3 linked regions of the Cricetulus griseus genome follow. The protein of the gene in region 1 interacts with the protein of each later gene in a biochemical or structural test. Links are inferred from orthologs where the notes say so. Each region holds a gene or a part of one and is shown on either strand. Other genes may lie near its edges.

What was found.
Region 2: the proteins of Mafg (region 1) and Nfe2l1 form a complex in vitro, tested with the Homo sapiens proteins (2 studies listed by BioGRID and IntAct, with this or other methods). The link is inferred for Cricetulus griseus from reciprocal best matches to the Homo sapiens genes MAFG and NFE2L1.
Region 3: the proteins of Mafg (region 1) and Nfe2 form a complex in vitro, tested with the Homo sapiens proteins (2 studies listed by BioGRID and IntAct, with this or other methods). The link is inferred for Cricetulus griseus from reciprocal best matches to the Homo sapiens genes MAFG and NFE2.

What each region holds. Positions count from the first base shown.
Region 1 is NC_048600.1:133,124,614-133,129,940, reverse strand, and holds the start of Mafg (transcription factor MafG), read left to right. Parts: upstream 1-2,074; 5' UTR 2,075-2,092; coding exon 2,093-2,239; intron 2,240-4,310; exon of another isoform or gene 4,311-4,802; intron 4,803-4,858; exon of another isoform or gene 4,859-5,236; intron 5,237-5,258; exon of another isoform or gene 5,259-5,306; intron 5,307-5,327. UniProt on the Homo sapiens protein: Since they lack a putative transactivation domain, the small Mafs behave as transcriptional repressors when they dimerize among themselves.
Region 2 is NC_048600.1:109,978,391-109,983,959, forward strand, and holds the start of Nfe2l1 (endoplasmic reticulum membrane sensor NFE2L1), read right to left. Parts: upstream 3,489-5,569; 5' UTR 3,337-3,488; exon of another isoform or gene 3,333-3,336; intron 3,062-3,332; exon of another isoform or gene 2,928-3,061; intron 1,770-2,927; 5' UTR 1,588-1,769; exon of another isoform or gene 1,260-1,587; 5' UTR 1,258-1,259; coding exon 748-1,257; intron 1-747.
Region 3 is NC_048595.1:399,620,395-399,625,912, reverse strand, and holds the start of Nfe2 (transcription factor NF-E2 45 kDa subunit), read left to right. Parts: upstream 1-2,064; 5' UTR 2,065-2,119; coding exon 2,120-2,233; intron 2,234-4,326; coding exon 4,327-5,337; 3' UTR 5,338-5,518. UniProt on the Homo sapiens protein: Component of the NF-E2 complex essential for regulating erythroid and megakaryocytic maturation and differentiation. Binds to the hypersensitive site 2 (HS2) of the beta-globin control region (LCR).

The sequences.
Region 1 (5,327 bases):
GGGTAAAAAAGAGCTTGAGGGCTTCCTGATCCCAGTGCATGCCTGGAGTCCCAGTTACTTTTTGTTGTTGTTGTTTTTCAAGATTGGTTTCCCTGTGTAGCCCTGGCTGTCTTGGACCCGATTTTTAGACCAGGCTAGTCTCGAACTCAAAGATCCACCTGCCTCTGACCCCCCACCCTTACCCCAGTGCTGGGATTAAAGGAGTACACCACCACAGCCCAGCAAGCCCCAGTTACTCTTGAGTCCAAGAGTTTGAAGCTAGTCTGAGCAAGAGAGTAAGACTTATCTTCATAAATAAGGGCAAACAAGGAGCGCGTGGGAGGAAGCTCGTGCCTGTACCGTCAGAACTCGGGAGGCTGAAGCAGGAGGGTTGCTGCTGAGCTTAAGCCAGCCGAGGCTGCAGAGTGAGACCCTGTCTTACAACTACAACAAAAAAACAAAGGAAAGGAGGATGAAGACAACAGAAACCCTGAGGGCATAGGGAGTAAGTCTACATTCACACAAGCCACACTGTACCCTGAGACTCTAGCTACACCCAGCGAGAGATAAAGACCCCACCCACACACACACTCCCCTAAGAAATACAATGTTAAGAACTACTTTTGGCCCTACAGGACAGGCAGTGACAATAAACTGAGGTGTGAGATCCCCAAACAAATTCCTGGAGGCTGGCGGAACGGACTGGAGGATCCTGGCTTAGCCTGTGCCACACGTCCATCCGCTACCCAGTGGCACTGAACAGGAAGAACACACACAAACCCATCCCCAGCCCGCTTTCCACCTGAGAAGGGAGGGCCACGTAGAAAGACCTGAAACTCTCCCGCTTTTTCACTTTTTATTAGACGCTGCACCGCAACGGGATCGGGACCATCAGCGCGCACCGCGAAGCCCCAGTGCCAGTCGGGCGTTTGGGGGCGCGGGCCGGGGTGTGGGCTGGGCCTTCCCAGCTCTCTGACCCACTCGGGAACGAGGGGGCATCGCAACAGGATGCGGTAAGAAGCTCCGCAACCGTGTCACATCATCAGCACGGCGGGCGGGGGCCCCGCGTGGCGCGGCGACTCCGGGAGGCAGAGGCGGGGGCATCGCCCGGAACCCCAAGCCAGGGTGCGCTCGCTGTCCCGAGAAAACCCCGCGTGCCGGTGGACGCGGCAACACGGGCAAACCTGCCCTCCGACCTCGGCCCGAGCAGGCGAGGAGACCCGGGGGGAACCGGAGCCACCGGTGTCCGCGCCGCGGAGAGCTCGGCACGCGGAGGGCGCCGCGCGAGTCCCGCGAGACGTCCGCTGGGCGCGGCGGGTTGCCGGGACGACGGCGCCGGGCTGCGCAGGCGTGCTGGGGCGCGCTCGCCTCGCCGTCGCCGCGCCTTTCCCTTTAAGCTCGGGCCGGCCGCGTCGCCGCTTCATGAATGGAGCCCACGTGACCAAACATCATGTGACGTCTGAGGAGCGGCGGCGGCGGCGGCGGCGGCGGCGGCGGTGGCGGATTCTGACCCGGTCCGGCCCGGCCTTCCCAGCGCGCTCGGCCCGGCCCGCGCGAGCGCCCAGTCGCCCCAAGCCCGCGGCCCGGACCCTTCGCGCCCGCCCCAGCCCCGCGCAGCCTCGGAGCGCGCGCGGCCCCGCCCCAGCCCCGCCTCGGCCCGCCGGGGCCCGCAGTGTGGTGAGTGCGGGGGCTGGGGCGGGCGGGCGAGCGGCGGGCGGGCGGCGGGGCGGGGCCTGGCCTCGGGGCTGCGGCGCACCGTGCGACGGCGGCGCGGGCCCCGGTTTCTGCGCCAGGCGGTCGGAAGCCGGCGGCTCGCCGGTGCCACCCCCGGGCTGTGGGCCGGGCGAGGCGAGGCTGGGAGCGCCGGGCGTGCGCGCGACGGACCCCCGGGCGCCCCGCGGGGGGCGCGATTAAAGGGCGAGGTCGGCGCGTCTGCCCGGGTCAGCGGGGCGGCCGCACCGAGCTGCTGACTCATCAGGTGTCTGTCGGCTTCCGCGCGGGCGGGGCCGGGCGGGCAGGGGCAGGGGCGGCGGCGGCGGCGGGGAGACCCCGCTGAGCGGCTTGGGCTCGCCACGCGCGTGCGAGCCCAGCGGAGACGTGCTGAGTCATCAGCATGAGGTCACTCGGTGCTCCTGCTGACGCGGGCCCGGGGCGGGGGGCCCAGGCCGGCTCTCGGGCAGTCCGAGCGGGCGGCAGGGCTCGATCCGGGCGGCGAAGGTCGGGCCAGGAGCCGGGGGTCGTGTTTAAGTTTATCGGACCTGTGAGTTGGAGGCAAAGGCCTCGAGGGACGCATCACCGGGGTGCGCCGCGGGTTCCTCGCGGGGTGGAAGGTAGAGCCCCGGGCTTACGCATCCCCCTAGGCTCTGGGGCTCCTGGTCCAGCTCCCCAAACTGGGAGACCGATCGGAGTACGCTGAGGGGAGGAGCCTAGGTGGGCCGAGCCCGCTTGTCTGGGAAGGAGGCTTTCCTTCTGAGTGACCCTGGCTGGCCGGGCGGCGTCGGCCTTGCACCGAAAAGACCGGGAGTCAGGACAGAAGGGTTGTGTGGCTTGAGGAAGCCGGGGCAGCTCTGCCAGCTAATGGGAGGGAAGCGTGGATGGTACCCGGTGGAAGTTTTGAGGTGCGAGCATGGAGTGGAGAACGTAGTTCTTTCTCATTTACCTCTCCTTTATCCCTGTCAGAAGAGTTTGGGGTCCCACTGTCGCCCGAAGTTAGCAAAAAGTGTGTGTGCCCTGTTGGGAGGCTGACCTGATGACAGCCTGTGTGGGGTGTGGCCCCCACCTTTGCATGGCTGCGTGGATGTTTACTGATTTCTCTTGCTGTGAAGGGTCCCGAGCTCTATTCCGCATTGCTTTCCTTGCCCGGGGTTTCATGGCTAGCTTAAGCTGACCTTGGGGTTAGGCTTAGAGACTTCCCATCCGCACTTACTACACTGAGCCCTGAGAATGCTCGTAGGTGCCAGGTGTTTCGTTTAGGGTGGAACTTTGTGCCCTATGAAAATTCAAGATCCCAGAGAGGTGTTTAAACTTTGGAGTCACTATGCTTCTGTGACATTTAAGTTGTTTTCAAATACTGTCAGTATCTGGGGTAGGGGAGACCTGAGTTTGGGCCTCGTGCACTGGAGTTTGCCCGAAAGGTTGAGGAAGGGCCACTGTCTTGCTTGAGACTAGTGTCCAGATGTCTGCTCTGAGAGTATTTGGAGGAGAGCAGAGCTGGGGGGCAAGCTGGCCTTGAGCAGCTTCTCTGAGCAGCTTCCTCAGGCTCTGAACTATACCTCAGGACAGCTGTCCCCCAAAGCTGTCTGCCTTGTCACCGTGTGACCCTAGGTTGGCAGGAGCTAGGCAGGCAGCTGGAAACACTAGCTTTGCTGAGACCTGCTCTCCCTCCCCGCTTAAGCATGCACAAGCACGGGCGAGCACACACACACACCTTTCACACACACACACACACACACCTTACACACACACACACACCTTACACACACACACACCTTTCACACACACACCTTACACACACACACACCTTACACACACACACCTTACACACACACACACCTTACACACACACACCTTACACACACACACACACCTTACACACACACCTTTCACACACACACACCTTACACACACACACACCTTACACACACACACACCTTACACACACACCTTTCACACACACACACACCTTTCACACACACCTTTCACACACACACACCTTTCACACACACACCTTTCACACACACACACACACCTTTCACACTCACACACACACACACACACACCTTACACACACACACACACACACACACACCTTTGACCAGGAGGCAGTTGGCTGCACTTGTGCTGATCAGGCCTTCAGCAGAGGGGAAAATCTGTTGAGGAGGCACTTTTCAGCTCCCAGCTACCACACACTGCACTTCCCTGTGCAATCGCGGGAAGTCTGCAGTCTGTGTGAAAAAAGCTCCTGCTAGGGCTGCCTCTCTCACCTTTTCTTGTGCTCCTGGTGTGAGCCGGGGGCCACCTTCTAAGAAAGGCAGCTCCTCTTCAGACCCCTAGCCCTGACTTCTTTCTCTTTGATCTAACGGGACTCTTGCCTCTGAAAATGCTCTTAATCTGGCCCTGGAGAAGTGTCTCCAGCTTCTGTGCTTAGCACGTCCTGTGCAAGACTGAGAGTAGTAGGGTCTTTGCTCAGATGAGAACAGGAGCCTCTACCTCCCTGGCTCACACTTTAGTTCTTTTGATAAGTGTTAAGAAGCACCCCCCCACTCCCCACCCCCACTCCTCACCCCCACCCCCCACCCCCACCCCCCACCCCCCACCCCGACACATTGTTGCCTAAAGTGCTTACAGCCTTCAGCCTCCCCTGGAAGACACTGCAACAACCTCTCCTGCAGTTCCTTCCATTTCCCTGCATCTGTAGCCATGGTGCTGGGCTAAGTGGGGGATTCCCAGCCTGGGTATACAAAAATGTTCTTGGCAAGGCTTTAGAAATCAGAAATTTTAAAAAGTGCCAGAGGGTAGCTGACCGTAGAAGGTAGCTGTTGTGCTTTTGTTCCCTGGCCCTGTGGTCACTGACCCTAGGCAGAGAGCCAGAGACTAGCCAGTGACCCAAAAGGGGCTGGCTCTTGCCTGTTACCAGCTAACAGTGCCCTCCCTCTGTTAATTGTGGGGGCCCTTGTGAAACACCCAGTATCGGGTGGGGCAGGAGCACAGGATGCCGCAACCAAGCCACAGGATGGTTACTCCATCTGTTAAGGAGGTGGACAGGGAGGACTGGAGGGGCCTGGGCTCAGCTCCTCCCAGCTGGATTGCCTGCTACCTGGAAGGTGAGAGGATTCCCAGTCAGCACAGTTAGAGCAAACCTGGTTGGTCCTCTGCCAAAATGAGGCAGGAAGCAGCCTCCTAAGTCCTAGAGGGAGAAAGGGCTTTCTTTTGTCCTGGGCAAGCTTAGGGACAAATACATGGAAAGTAGGACCCTGCAGTACAGGGTCCTTGACTGACCCTTGCCTGCCGTTGGTCCCAGTAGTGGGTCTCCTGGGGAACTGTTGGCTGGCCTTAGGAATGGGAGAGCGGCTCAGGAAGAGAGGGAGGCGATGTGCTGAGTCAGCGTGACTCGCCAGGAACAGTGTGCTCTGGGGCAGTGCTGGGGTTATTTTTAAAGCTCAGCTTCCTTCTAGGCTTGCCCCTCCTGCAGCCCAGACCTTCTAATCTCTCTCTGCTCCCTTTGTCTTCTGCCTTCACACAGCTGGCTCTTCCCTGGGTAAAGCCTCCCCATCTCCCACCTGTCTTTCTAGGGAAAGGGCCTTCTGAAGCAGCCCAGCTCAGGTCAGGTGAGGGCAAGGTTCAGTGGG
Region 2 (5,569 bases), about 23 Mb from region 1:
CTCTTTTGAGCTCCTAGGGCTTGTGGCAATTCAAAGCTGTTTTAGTACCCAGGTCAGACAGGGGCCACAGTAGTCATTTGCATCATTGATGGGAAGGAACTGCACCCTTTTCTACCCAGAAGTTGTCACCTCTAATAGCTCAGAACAAGCTGACCTGAGAAGAGTACAGTTCTCTTCTAGCTTCCAGCCTTTTCTGTTCTACTCCCTGCAGCAGAGAATGGGAGCCTTGGCCTCTCCTGGCCAAGAATAACTATCCAAGTCTACCTCTTGGCTCAAGCCCAGGAGAGTTAAAGGGAGTTGACAACAACAGGCCTAAAAGCAATGGAGAACTTTAGGGTACAGCATCAGGTTTTAATGTGTTTGTGGTAACAAGACAAGAGAGGCGCCAGACAGTAAGTGTCTTCAAAACAATAAATACTCCATCAAAGCCCAAAAGGTAGCCCTCCCCGACCTAAAGCCTCCAGCAGTCATATTGAAATCTAAGCACTAAAAACCCTGGTATGGTCTAGGAACCACCCTGCCCTGATAGTACACTCAGAGGTGGGTCAATGGTTCAAAACATGGACATGCTCCCAGCCCTGAAATCAGACAATTAAGCCCAATCCTATCCAAGCAGAGCCAACAGTCCAAACCCCTGACCCTAATCTATTTGGTTCCTTAAAGAACTCGGAGTGGAGCTAACAAGCCCTCAGAACCAACCCACTCCTGCCAACACCCAGGCCCACCCACCACCACAGCACCACTAACCTCTTTGGTTAAGTCTCCACCGGCAGGAGGGGCCACAGCCCCCAAATCCTCCAAATCTTCACTGAATCCCTGCTCCGTTTCACTTTCTCTCACCCCGTTGTCTGGGCCTGTCACGTCTTGGAGGCCACTGGAACTCTCAAGGGCAAGGCCTGAGTTGGGCTGGCTGCCAGAGACAGACCCCTCTGGGTCCCGGTGAACCAGCCAAGCATTTACCTCAGTGGTAGGCACCTGGAACCTATCCAGGGCCCTCACCTGACTGAGGAGTCGCCGGGCAGTGAAGTAATTGTCCAGGTCTATGCTCTTGGGGTGGATACCATAGCCATCCAAGGTATTCCTCAGGTTGTGGAACTGGGTCTGAGTATAGGCAGAGCTGGGCCCCAGGATGATCTCCCGGAGTGGAGGGAGCTGTGAGGTCAGGTAAGTATCCACGTCCACCCGAACCCCAATCAGACTCAGCAGGATGGTGAACTGGAGCAGTCCTTCCGTTAAGTATTTCTTCAGAGAAAGCATTGCTGAAGGACCAGAATGTTTATGCTTTTTGTTTTTAAATCTTCCACAAGACAAGTCAAGGCCACTGCTCTGCCACTCCAGCCAGCAGGTTACCCTCCTCAGTTCGAGACCCTGTAACCCACCCTGGCACAAAACAGGGGCTGATCTCCCCGATTGGCCCCAGAGGAAAGCACACCCTGTGGAGCAAAAGCCACACTCCAGACCACATTCACTTTTCCCTTCTTGACACCTCACCTCTGAAAGTTCAGCTGTTACTAACCCAGTCCAGGCCCTCAAGGCCCTCTCAACTTACTGTCTCCACAGTCCACATACGGTCACTTCCTCACTCACATTAGCTGTCCTCTACGGAGATCCCACTGCAGGCTGTTCGCAGGGACAGCTGATAGTTTCTTTCTTTCTTTCGTTCCTTCTCCTTGCTAGGGTTTATTTCCTTTGGCTGGAGCTACAGGTCTTTGTCTTGGGTCAGAGTGTCCCTCCTCCTCTGCACTTACCAGGGGGGTTTCCAGAGAAACCTGAAATGGGAATCACAAGAGCAACAAGATAAGATTCCATACCCTTTACATCATGATCAGGGTAAGAACCTTCAGGGAGGAGGTAGGAAACAAATTAAAAGGCTACTTTTACAAGAAAAAACAGAACCAAACCTGTTGTACCAACTACAAAAAGAAGGAAACACAGTTACCAAATACTGCATTTGTTATATTTTTTTAAAAAAGTAGTTTTCAAAGAAGCAGACACTGAACATGACATTCAAAATACCTTACACTTTGTCTAATTTACCAACACTGCTAATAGAACACATTACCCGGTTTCTAATTTTAGCACAAGAAGCCCATTTCCTATCTAAAAAAAAAAAAAAAAAAAAAAAAAAAAAAAAAAAGTTGGTTTCCCATGTCATTGTCCCTTCCAACTCAAAAGAGTGAGACGTGTGAAAAGTAGATGGGCCCTCATTTCACACATAGAAAGATACTTTTTTGTTTTTCCAACTTTGAAATCTAATCTCCCTTTCCTGTCATTTTTACGTTAAAAAAATAAAAATAAAAAAAGAAAGCTGAAACATGATGATTAGGAGTATAAGACCAACCTAGACAAAATAATGAGACCATTTCAATAGAAAAAAATTAAAGGGCAAGGATACAGACCATTGGTGCCTAATTAAGAGGCCCTGTTGCAATCTCTAGTAAGGCAAAATGAAAGAAAGGAGGGGAAAGGTACAGGAGAGCAGTGGAGGAGGGTGGGCCCTGCTCCACTGGAAATCTGAATTCACAGGTTTTATCTTTATTCGCATGACCTTCTGAGCCAAAGCAGAAGGATATAGCTAAGTTCTCAATCTAAGTTGCCAAGTGGGGAGAAGGTAAATTTGCCTTTCCGTTTCTGGTTTCTACTTTTGAGCTTTCATTAGTCCGATAAACCAACTCCTGGGTTGAAACCCACTATCAACTTCACTCTAAAGGTGAAATGGGACCTACACGTACGAGGCACACACACCCACGGAATACCCTCATTCGGTTGAGTAAACATTTCTGCTTTTGATCCTCGCCCGCCCTCGCGCAATTTACTACTAAAACTTCCCAAGTGCCAATTAAGTTTGAGAGAGCGGACAAAGTTCTTCAAAGCCAAGAAGGCCAGAGAGCACCCGGGCGCGAGTCCGGTCCCACCCTGCTCCATACCCGAGTCTGCTGGGGACCAGGCTGCCATGCCCACGGTCGACGCCCCGGCTTCTAGCTTTCTGGGACACCAAGCCACAAGTGCTACTTCCCTGGCCCTGACCCACCCTTAAATGCGAGCCTCACCCCGCCCTCCGTGCCCGAGGCCCCACCCCACTCTCCAGTCCGGCCTCACCACGCCCTCCCATGCCCTCGGCCCTTCGCGGTCCAGCCCACCCAGGAACAAGCTTTGTTTGCACCCCGCTTTCCCCTCCGGCCAAGTCCAGAGCCCGAGTCGGACTAGGACCCCGCCTGGCCTCGCGCGTCCTGCCTCCCGCCCCTCAACCCCATCTCGCCGCCCCTCATCCCACAAGCTTCGACCCTGTTGCGCCGCGGCTCTCTCGTCAGGGAAGGGAATGTGTCAGGTACCCACTGCTGAGGTCGCAGTCCACCGCTGTCGCCACAGCAGGCCCTCAGCCCGAGTCCCGGCCTCGCCGCCGCCGCCGTCGCCACCGCCGCCGCCGCCACCTCCGGCCGGCCTGGAGCGCCCAGCCTCGGCTTCCCTCCCCGCCCCCTCCTTCCACTGCACTCGAAAGCCCGCCCTCCACGGCCACGCCAGAAACAGTTGCTCCAATCAGCTAGCCGAAGCCGAAACCGTCACCGGATGTCGCTTTGATTGACGGCAAAGAGAACCCAATAGCCAAGTGTTGTCTCCGCCTCCTCAGCCCCTTTTCCCGAGACTGACGTGGAGAGCAGACCAATGAGTGTGCAGGCCCGCCCCGCGGTGTGAACCCACCAATGAGTGGGGCGAAGGCCCTAGTGTCCGGCATTCCGAACCTCTCCGCTGCGCTTCGAAGGTGGACGGTGTTATAAGTTAGGTGCTTCTGGTGCATTGTTTGTCTAGGAATAAGGTCTTTCCAGGCAGAGAGAGGAGTATTGCCGCCGGAGCCCGGAATTCCGTCCTTGAGGGTTCCCACGGTGACTTGCAAAAGTCCAGTGAGACCTAAGGAAGCCGAGGCGGGAGAACGGAGCATGTGGTTCTCCTGGTGGCGACGCTCGTGTAGCCATCTTGGGTACTGGCAACGGAAACCGGTCGTGTCCCCCCCCACCCACACACACACCTTTGCCCTAGGGACTGGTGTAGTAACCTGGGTCGGACAGGAAAGGTGGTATCTTGTAGCCCAGGCAACAGTCAAATGGCGGAAACTGCCGGGCAGACAGATTGTTAAGGCGGTAGTGGGATGTTGGTAGTGTGAGAGATGGAACATAGTAACCATTTTTGTCATCAAAAGAATGCCCGAGAAGCCCCTCCCCCTCCTCTAACCACTCGTAAACAGCTTAGTTTTTGCTTTTCAGGAACGCTCCTTGGTTGCCGGAGTACTCCAATCCCATACACCAATACAACCAAGCCATTTTTTTTTTTTTGTGACTCTCAAATTTGGTATGCTCTCGACGTTTGTTAGATTCCAAATTGCAAAGCCTGTGAGAGATTCTTGTTCAGTAGCCATGGGGTAGGGCCTGATAGCATGCCCTCTTGAGTAATTCTAATGCAGCAGGTCGAAGACCACATTTAGGAAATCATTGAATTGGAATTTGTACTGTGTTCCCAGCTGTGGGACAGAGGTGAGGTGCCAACAGAGTTCTTGTCTCCTTTTAAGGGGCCATGATCTAGTTGACAGTTCATTGTTTATTGTCCTTGTGTAATTAAGGACAAGGCCAGCAGATAACACATCAGATCGATTCCTGCTGCGCGAATATTTGGAGAGATTCACAGAGTGTTAAGCACTTTAACTGGTATAAATACGCACCAGCATCTTCCCTTCTGATCCTTGCAAGTTACTAAACTACTATATACCTTTTTAAATTAAGTTATTTTGAGCTAGTTTACACTTTCAAAGACTGCTTTACTTAGTCATCATTTTAATGTGTCCCAGTAAAAACTACAATATAAACCCTATGACACAAGAAATTTGAATATTAACTGTTGGGTCTCCAAAACAACAGGGCAGCCAGGGCTCCCAGTACTCTTGGGAGGCAGAGGCAGGCAGATCTCTGTGACTTCAAGAACAGCCTGGTCTACATAGACAATTCCAGAACATCCAAGGCTACATACAGACTCTATTTCAAAAAAAGAGGAGTACCAGGATACTTGGTGATAGAGTTTGTAACTAGAGTACTTGCCTAGCATCCAAGAGGCACTGGGTTCAAACTGCTTTGATAAACAAAAAGATAGTTACAAGGGGAAAGGAAACCAAGCAGGTTGAGCCTGTAATTCAAAGATCCCGCTAAAATAGAAGCATTCTGACAATACAGTGGTTTGTTTTGCCTTATTTTTAGAGACAGGTTCTCGTTCCAAGGTCCCAGACTGTCCTGGAATTTAGGGCAAGCCTCCTGTGTTCAGCCCCTCAAGTGATGTATTTTGGGTACATTCCATCAATTTCAACTAGAGTGCATTCCTAACGGGGCTAGGGGCACAGGCTTGTCATCCTAGCACTCAGAAAGCAGAGGGATCCCTGCAAGTTTGAAATCAGCTTGGTTTACATGATGAGTTTCATTCATGCCAATGAGGGCTACATAGCAACAGCCTATCTAAAAACAAAAACAACCAGAAAAGTGAAAAAAAAAATCTAACAAACAGAAAAATGACAAGCCCCTAAATTCAATCC
Region 3 (5,518 bases), on another chromosome or scaffold:
GGAATGTTTTCCATATACCCCAGGTGGGAACGTGGTACACAGTAAGATTTGTGGCTCTGACTAGATGCAGTCTGTTCCTTCTTAGAGCAGTAAGGTTCTCTAGTCCTGATTCCATTTAATTGGAGACTGTGATGCAATTTGTCCAAGGTCATGCATCTTGAAGAGTAGAGAATCTTGCCTTCTAGGGCAAGATCTTGTCTTGCACCGCAGATTCTTACTCAGAAAGACAGGAGAGGCAAAGAGAGGTAGAGTGTGTGAAGAACTATGAGGCAATAGTCATAGTCCCTGCCCACCCACCCCCCAAAGTCCTTCTCCATTCACTCTGCCTTTGGGCAATTTCCGCCAGAACCTGGGTGGGGAGGGTGGAGTTCCGGTGTTGAAATGGCATCCTGGACAGACATAAACACCCCACCCATTCTACCCATTGGTCAAAGGACTGTGCCTATACCAACTCCCATGTCTGGGGATGGCATTATAGCAAGAGGGTGGAGGCAGGGCCTCAGGCAGATCACCTGTGAAAAGGACACTTGGTAGTGACTATACATTTTGTGGTAGGTACAAGAGGGGATTCCATAATGAATAGCAGGAATGGGCTCTTCTTGTGTTGGGTGATGTAAAATCATATAATACAATTTTCTTGAGTTCCTCCAGTCCCATCATCCTCTGTTCTTCTGTAAGGTTTCCTTTATTTGTATGGTGTGCACTGTAGGTGTGCTTGCATGCACATGCTATGCTATGTCTGTCCCTGAGAGATCAGGGGAACCTTGACAAGTCTACTTGGAATCTATTGTTGGACACAAAGAGAACAGATTCAGATAGAGATGGGAATCAAAGAATATGGAGGTAGGGACCCAGAGGAGATGATGAAAGCAAGGGTAAGACTTTGCAGAGAACTGTCCAAGCAGCAAGGGATTCTTCCAGTTCAAGTTGTCTAACTCCCTGACTTTACAACTGGGAGAACTGATCAGGAGCAGTGAGATGGCTTGCCCAACTACCACACTGCTGTCTTGGGGCAGAACTGAAGTTATAGCCCAGATTAAAAGAAGAGGAACCTTGGGAACCAAAGGGGGCCTAGAAAGCAGCAAGGGATATGATCAGGTTCCAACCTGTCACCTACCAGCTTGGGCTTCAGTATCTGCCTTCTATCCCTTACAAGGTCTTTATGAAGCCCAGCACAATTTTTGACTTACTTGCTAAGTCTTTGCTGTATGTTGACCTTGGAAGAGAAAGGAGTCATGGTCATGTGGGGTGGGGCATGGCCAAATGACCTGGTTGGGATACAGGGTAGAGGTCCAGTGTCTCCTGGAGCCCATTCCTCCTCTGCCTCTGCTGCCTGCAGCTGATAAGCCTCTTATCTGGCTCAGGCAGAGTAGCCCAGAGTAAGGATGGGAGTAGAGGGCAGGGCTGCTATCACCAGCAGGCCTGGGCCCTATCTAAGACAAGGGGAGGGGCTGTCTGCCTGCACTTTCCACAACACACTGCTTGGGGATCCCCGAGCAGAGCATTCACTCACATCTTGGGAAGAAAGGAAAGAACTGAAATGCTAGGCGTGGTGGCGCACACCTCTAATTCCAACACTCTGGAGGCAGAGGCAGGCAGGTCTCTGTGATTTAGAGGCCAGCCTGGTCTCCAGAGCTAGTTCCAGGACAGCCAGGGCTACATAGTAAGATCCTGTTTCAAACAACAAAACTGAGGACCCAAGAGGAAGGCATGGGTGACTCTTGATGTTTTCTCCCAGAATGGAAAACAAAACCTCAACCATAAAACCTCAGAAGACTGAATTTTGCCTCTGGACAGGAATACCATTTTTAGGGAGTAAGAGAAGATATCTTGTCTGAGAAAAAGTAAAGATACCTACTGTGTGCCCAGAGGAGTGACTATGGCCAGAGCAGGTGAGGTAGAGAGTATGCCACAGAAAAGAACTTTACAGTTCATAGGATGTTGGTGGTCCTGGCATGAGTGAACCACTGGCATTGCTCCTTTCTTCTGGGGATTCTGCACAGGGATGGGACAAACTTTCAATCTGACAGCAGCAGCTCTAACCCTTCCTTCCGTCCACACAGGTTGCTGGAGCCCTCTGAGCTTTGGAGGAACTAGGGCCAGAAGCTGGCACAGTAGGATGCCCCCGTGTCCTCCTCAGCAGAACAGGGACAGGTTGTCACAGCTGCCTGTTGGGGAGCTGGGCGAGATGGAATTGACTTGGCAAGAGATCATGTCCATTACTGAGCTGCAGGTGAGTATGGGGTGGGCACTGCAGAGGTAGGGGCTCTGGCCTGGTCAGAAACAGAGTTTGTGTGTGGGTGTGGGTGTGGGGGCGGCAATGAGGAACACGGAGGAGAGGGGGAAGGGAAGGATTTGGTTGGGGATGTGGGCTCCTGCCCAGCTGCTCTGCTCACATTTCTACAACCCTCTTCTCTGCCCCTCTCTTTATTTCCTTCTCATCTGATCAGCCTCTCTTCCAGCACTGCCTGTCTTCCCTCATTGCCACCCCTCACCCTTAGCAACCAGCTCCTTACTCCAGGTAGCAGAGCCTTAGTTAAAGGGCCTCAGAAAGGGGAGACAGACTATGCCGGGGTCCTCTCTTGAATGTTGGACAAAGGGGTGTCTGTTGGTCTAACAATGATGTCTTTGTCCTCAGCTAGGCTTGAGCAGGATAGCTCTCCTACGTAAGTTGGGGGCCTTGTTTGTAACATGTGTTCTCCTCCTCACTGCACCTGGACAGAGGGCTAACCCCCAGCCTGGCCTCTGTGCCTGCCCCCCCCCCCCCAGGCCTGGTGTCCTCAGGTTCTGCCCTAGACCCTCCTCCCACACACCAGCTCCCTCTGCTGGGCACCCAGCGAATGGCGAGACCTTGAACTTGACCCTTTGACCCTACCTAACCATAGCAGGAAAAGGATTCTGAGGGTCCATCTTGGGTAATAATGGCCTTGTCTTCCTAAAGAGAGTGAAGGAACAGGAGCTATTTGGCCCAGTAAGAGTTTCTCCTTAGAAGGAGACTCTGAACCCATTTCAGTGCAAAGTTATCTTCTCTGAGGTCTCACAGTGACTTTTATTCCTACTAAATTGCTCTTCAGCTGGGCGTTGGTGGCGCTCGCCTTTGATCCCAGCACTCGGGAGACAGAGGCAGGCAGATCTCTGTGAGTTCAAGGCCAGCCTGGTCTACAGAGCAAGTGCCAGGATAGGCCCCAAAGCAATACAGACAAACCCTGTCTCAAAAAACAAACAAAACAAAAACAAACTGCTTTTCTTCCTCTCTCTTTTTTTTTTTTCTTTTTGTTTTTGGAGACAGGGTTTCTCTGTGTAGCACTGGCTGTCCTGGAACTCACTCTGTAGACCAGGCTGGCCTCGAACTCAGAGATTTAGCAGCTTCTGCCTCCCCAGTGCTAAGATGAATGATGTGTGCCACCATGCCCAGATTCTGGCTAGGTAGCCCTGGAGTTTGCTATGTATACCAGGATGGTCTTGAACTCAAGAGAGATACACCTGCCCCTTGAATGCTTGGATTAAAGGCCTCTTGATTTTTTTTTTTTTTAAATCTCATGTACATTCCTGTTCTTCCTGCATGTATGTCTGTGTGAAGGTGTTGGATCCCCTGGAACTGGAGTTAGTTATGAGCTGCCATATGGGTACTGAGAATTGAACTTGGGTCCTCTGGAAGAGCAGTTCTTAACTGCTGAGCCAATTCTCCAGCCCCTTTCTTGATTTTTGAAACAGGGTCTCACACAGCCCACACTGGCCTTGTACTTTTTATGTAGCCAAGACTGTCATTAAACTCATGACCCTCCTGTTTCTACATCTCAAATGCTATTATAAGCCTATGCCACCATGCTGCTTTCTTTCCTTTTTTTTTTTTTTAATAACTTATATTTTATTTGCATTGGTGTTTTGCCTGGATGTATGTCCATGTGAGGGTGTCAGATCTTGGATTTACAGACAGTTGTGAGCTGCCATGTGGTTGCTGGGAATTGAACTTGGGTCCTTTGGAAGAGCAGTCAGTGCCTGCCTCTGCCTCCTGAGTGCTGGGATTTAAAGGCGTTAGCCACCAACGCCTGGCTAACAAGTTTGTTTTTTTTTCTGGAGTAGGGTTTCTCTGTGGTTTTGGAGGCTGTCCTGGAACTATCTCTTGTAGATCAGGCTGGTCTTGAACTCAGAGATCTGCCTGCCTCTGCCTTCCAAATTCTGGGATTAAAGGTTTGAGACACCACCGCCCAGCTTCCTAACTAGCTCTTATAATTTAAATTAACCCATTTATTAAGTATTAATCTATGCTCTATCACATGGAGATCACAGTCTATCTTCTAACCTTTGTCATGTCTTTCTTTGCAGGGTCTAAATGTTCCAAGTGAGCCATCCTTTGAGCCCCAAGCACCCACCCCATATGCTGGACCACTGCCACCTCCAACATACTGCCCCTGTTCAGTTCACCCAGATGCAGGCTTTTCCCTGCCCCTACCACCTTATGAGCTGCCAGCAGCATCTACTCCCCATGTCCCAGACCTCCCATACTCCTATGGCAACATGGCTATACCAGTGTCAAAGCCACTCACCCTTTCAGGCCTGCTCAATGAGCCCCTCCCGGACCCCTTAGCTCTCCTGGACATTGGGCTACCAGTGGGGGCACCCAAGCCCCAAGAAGACCCAGAATCCGACTCAGGATTATCCCTCAACTACAGTGATGCAGAATCTCTTGAGCTAGAGGGTGCAGAGGCTGGCAGGCGGAGGAGCGAGTATGTGGACATGTACCCGGTGGAGTACCCTTACTCCCATATGCCCAACTCCTTGGCCCACCCTAACTATACTTTGCCACCCACTGAGAACCCCTTGGGCTTAGAGTCATCCTCTGGCCCTGTGCGGGCTAAGCCTGCTGTTAGGGGAGAGGCGGGGAGTCGGGATGAGCGGCGCGCCATGGCCATGAAGATTCCTTTCCCTACGGACAAGATTGTCAACTTGCCTGTAGATGACTTTAATGAGCTGTTGGCGCAGTACCCGCTAACAGAGAGCCAGTTGGCTCTAGTTCGGGACATCCGACGGCGGGGCAAGAACAAGGTGGCAGCCCAGAATTGTCGCAAGAGAAAACTGGAAACCATTGTGCAGCTAGAGAGGGAGCTGGAGCGGCTGGGTAGTGAAAGAGAGCGGCTTCTCAGAGCCCGAGGCGAAGCCGACCGCACTCTGGAGGTCATGCGCCAACAGTTGGCAGAGTTGTACCATGACATTTTCCAACATCTTCGGGATGAATCTGGCAACAGTTATTCACCGGAGGAATATGTACTGCAACAGGCTGCTGATGGGGCCATCTTTCTGGTGCCCCGTGGGACCAAGATGGAGACCACCGATTGAGCTGGCTTAGAGGAGACTGACAATGGTGCTAGGGCCGCCCCCACATTCCCTTCTGATAAAGGTACTCCCCAGCCCCAGGACCCATAAGGCACTGCATTCTTCAGACCCAGAGGGCAGATGCAACCTTAGCATTTGGATGTCCCAAGGTATGTTCAGTGAGGTTAGCCTAGAGGCCAGGGAG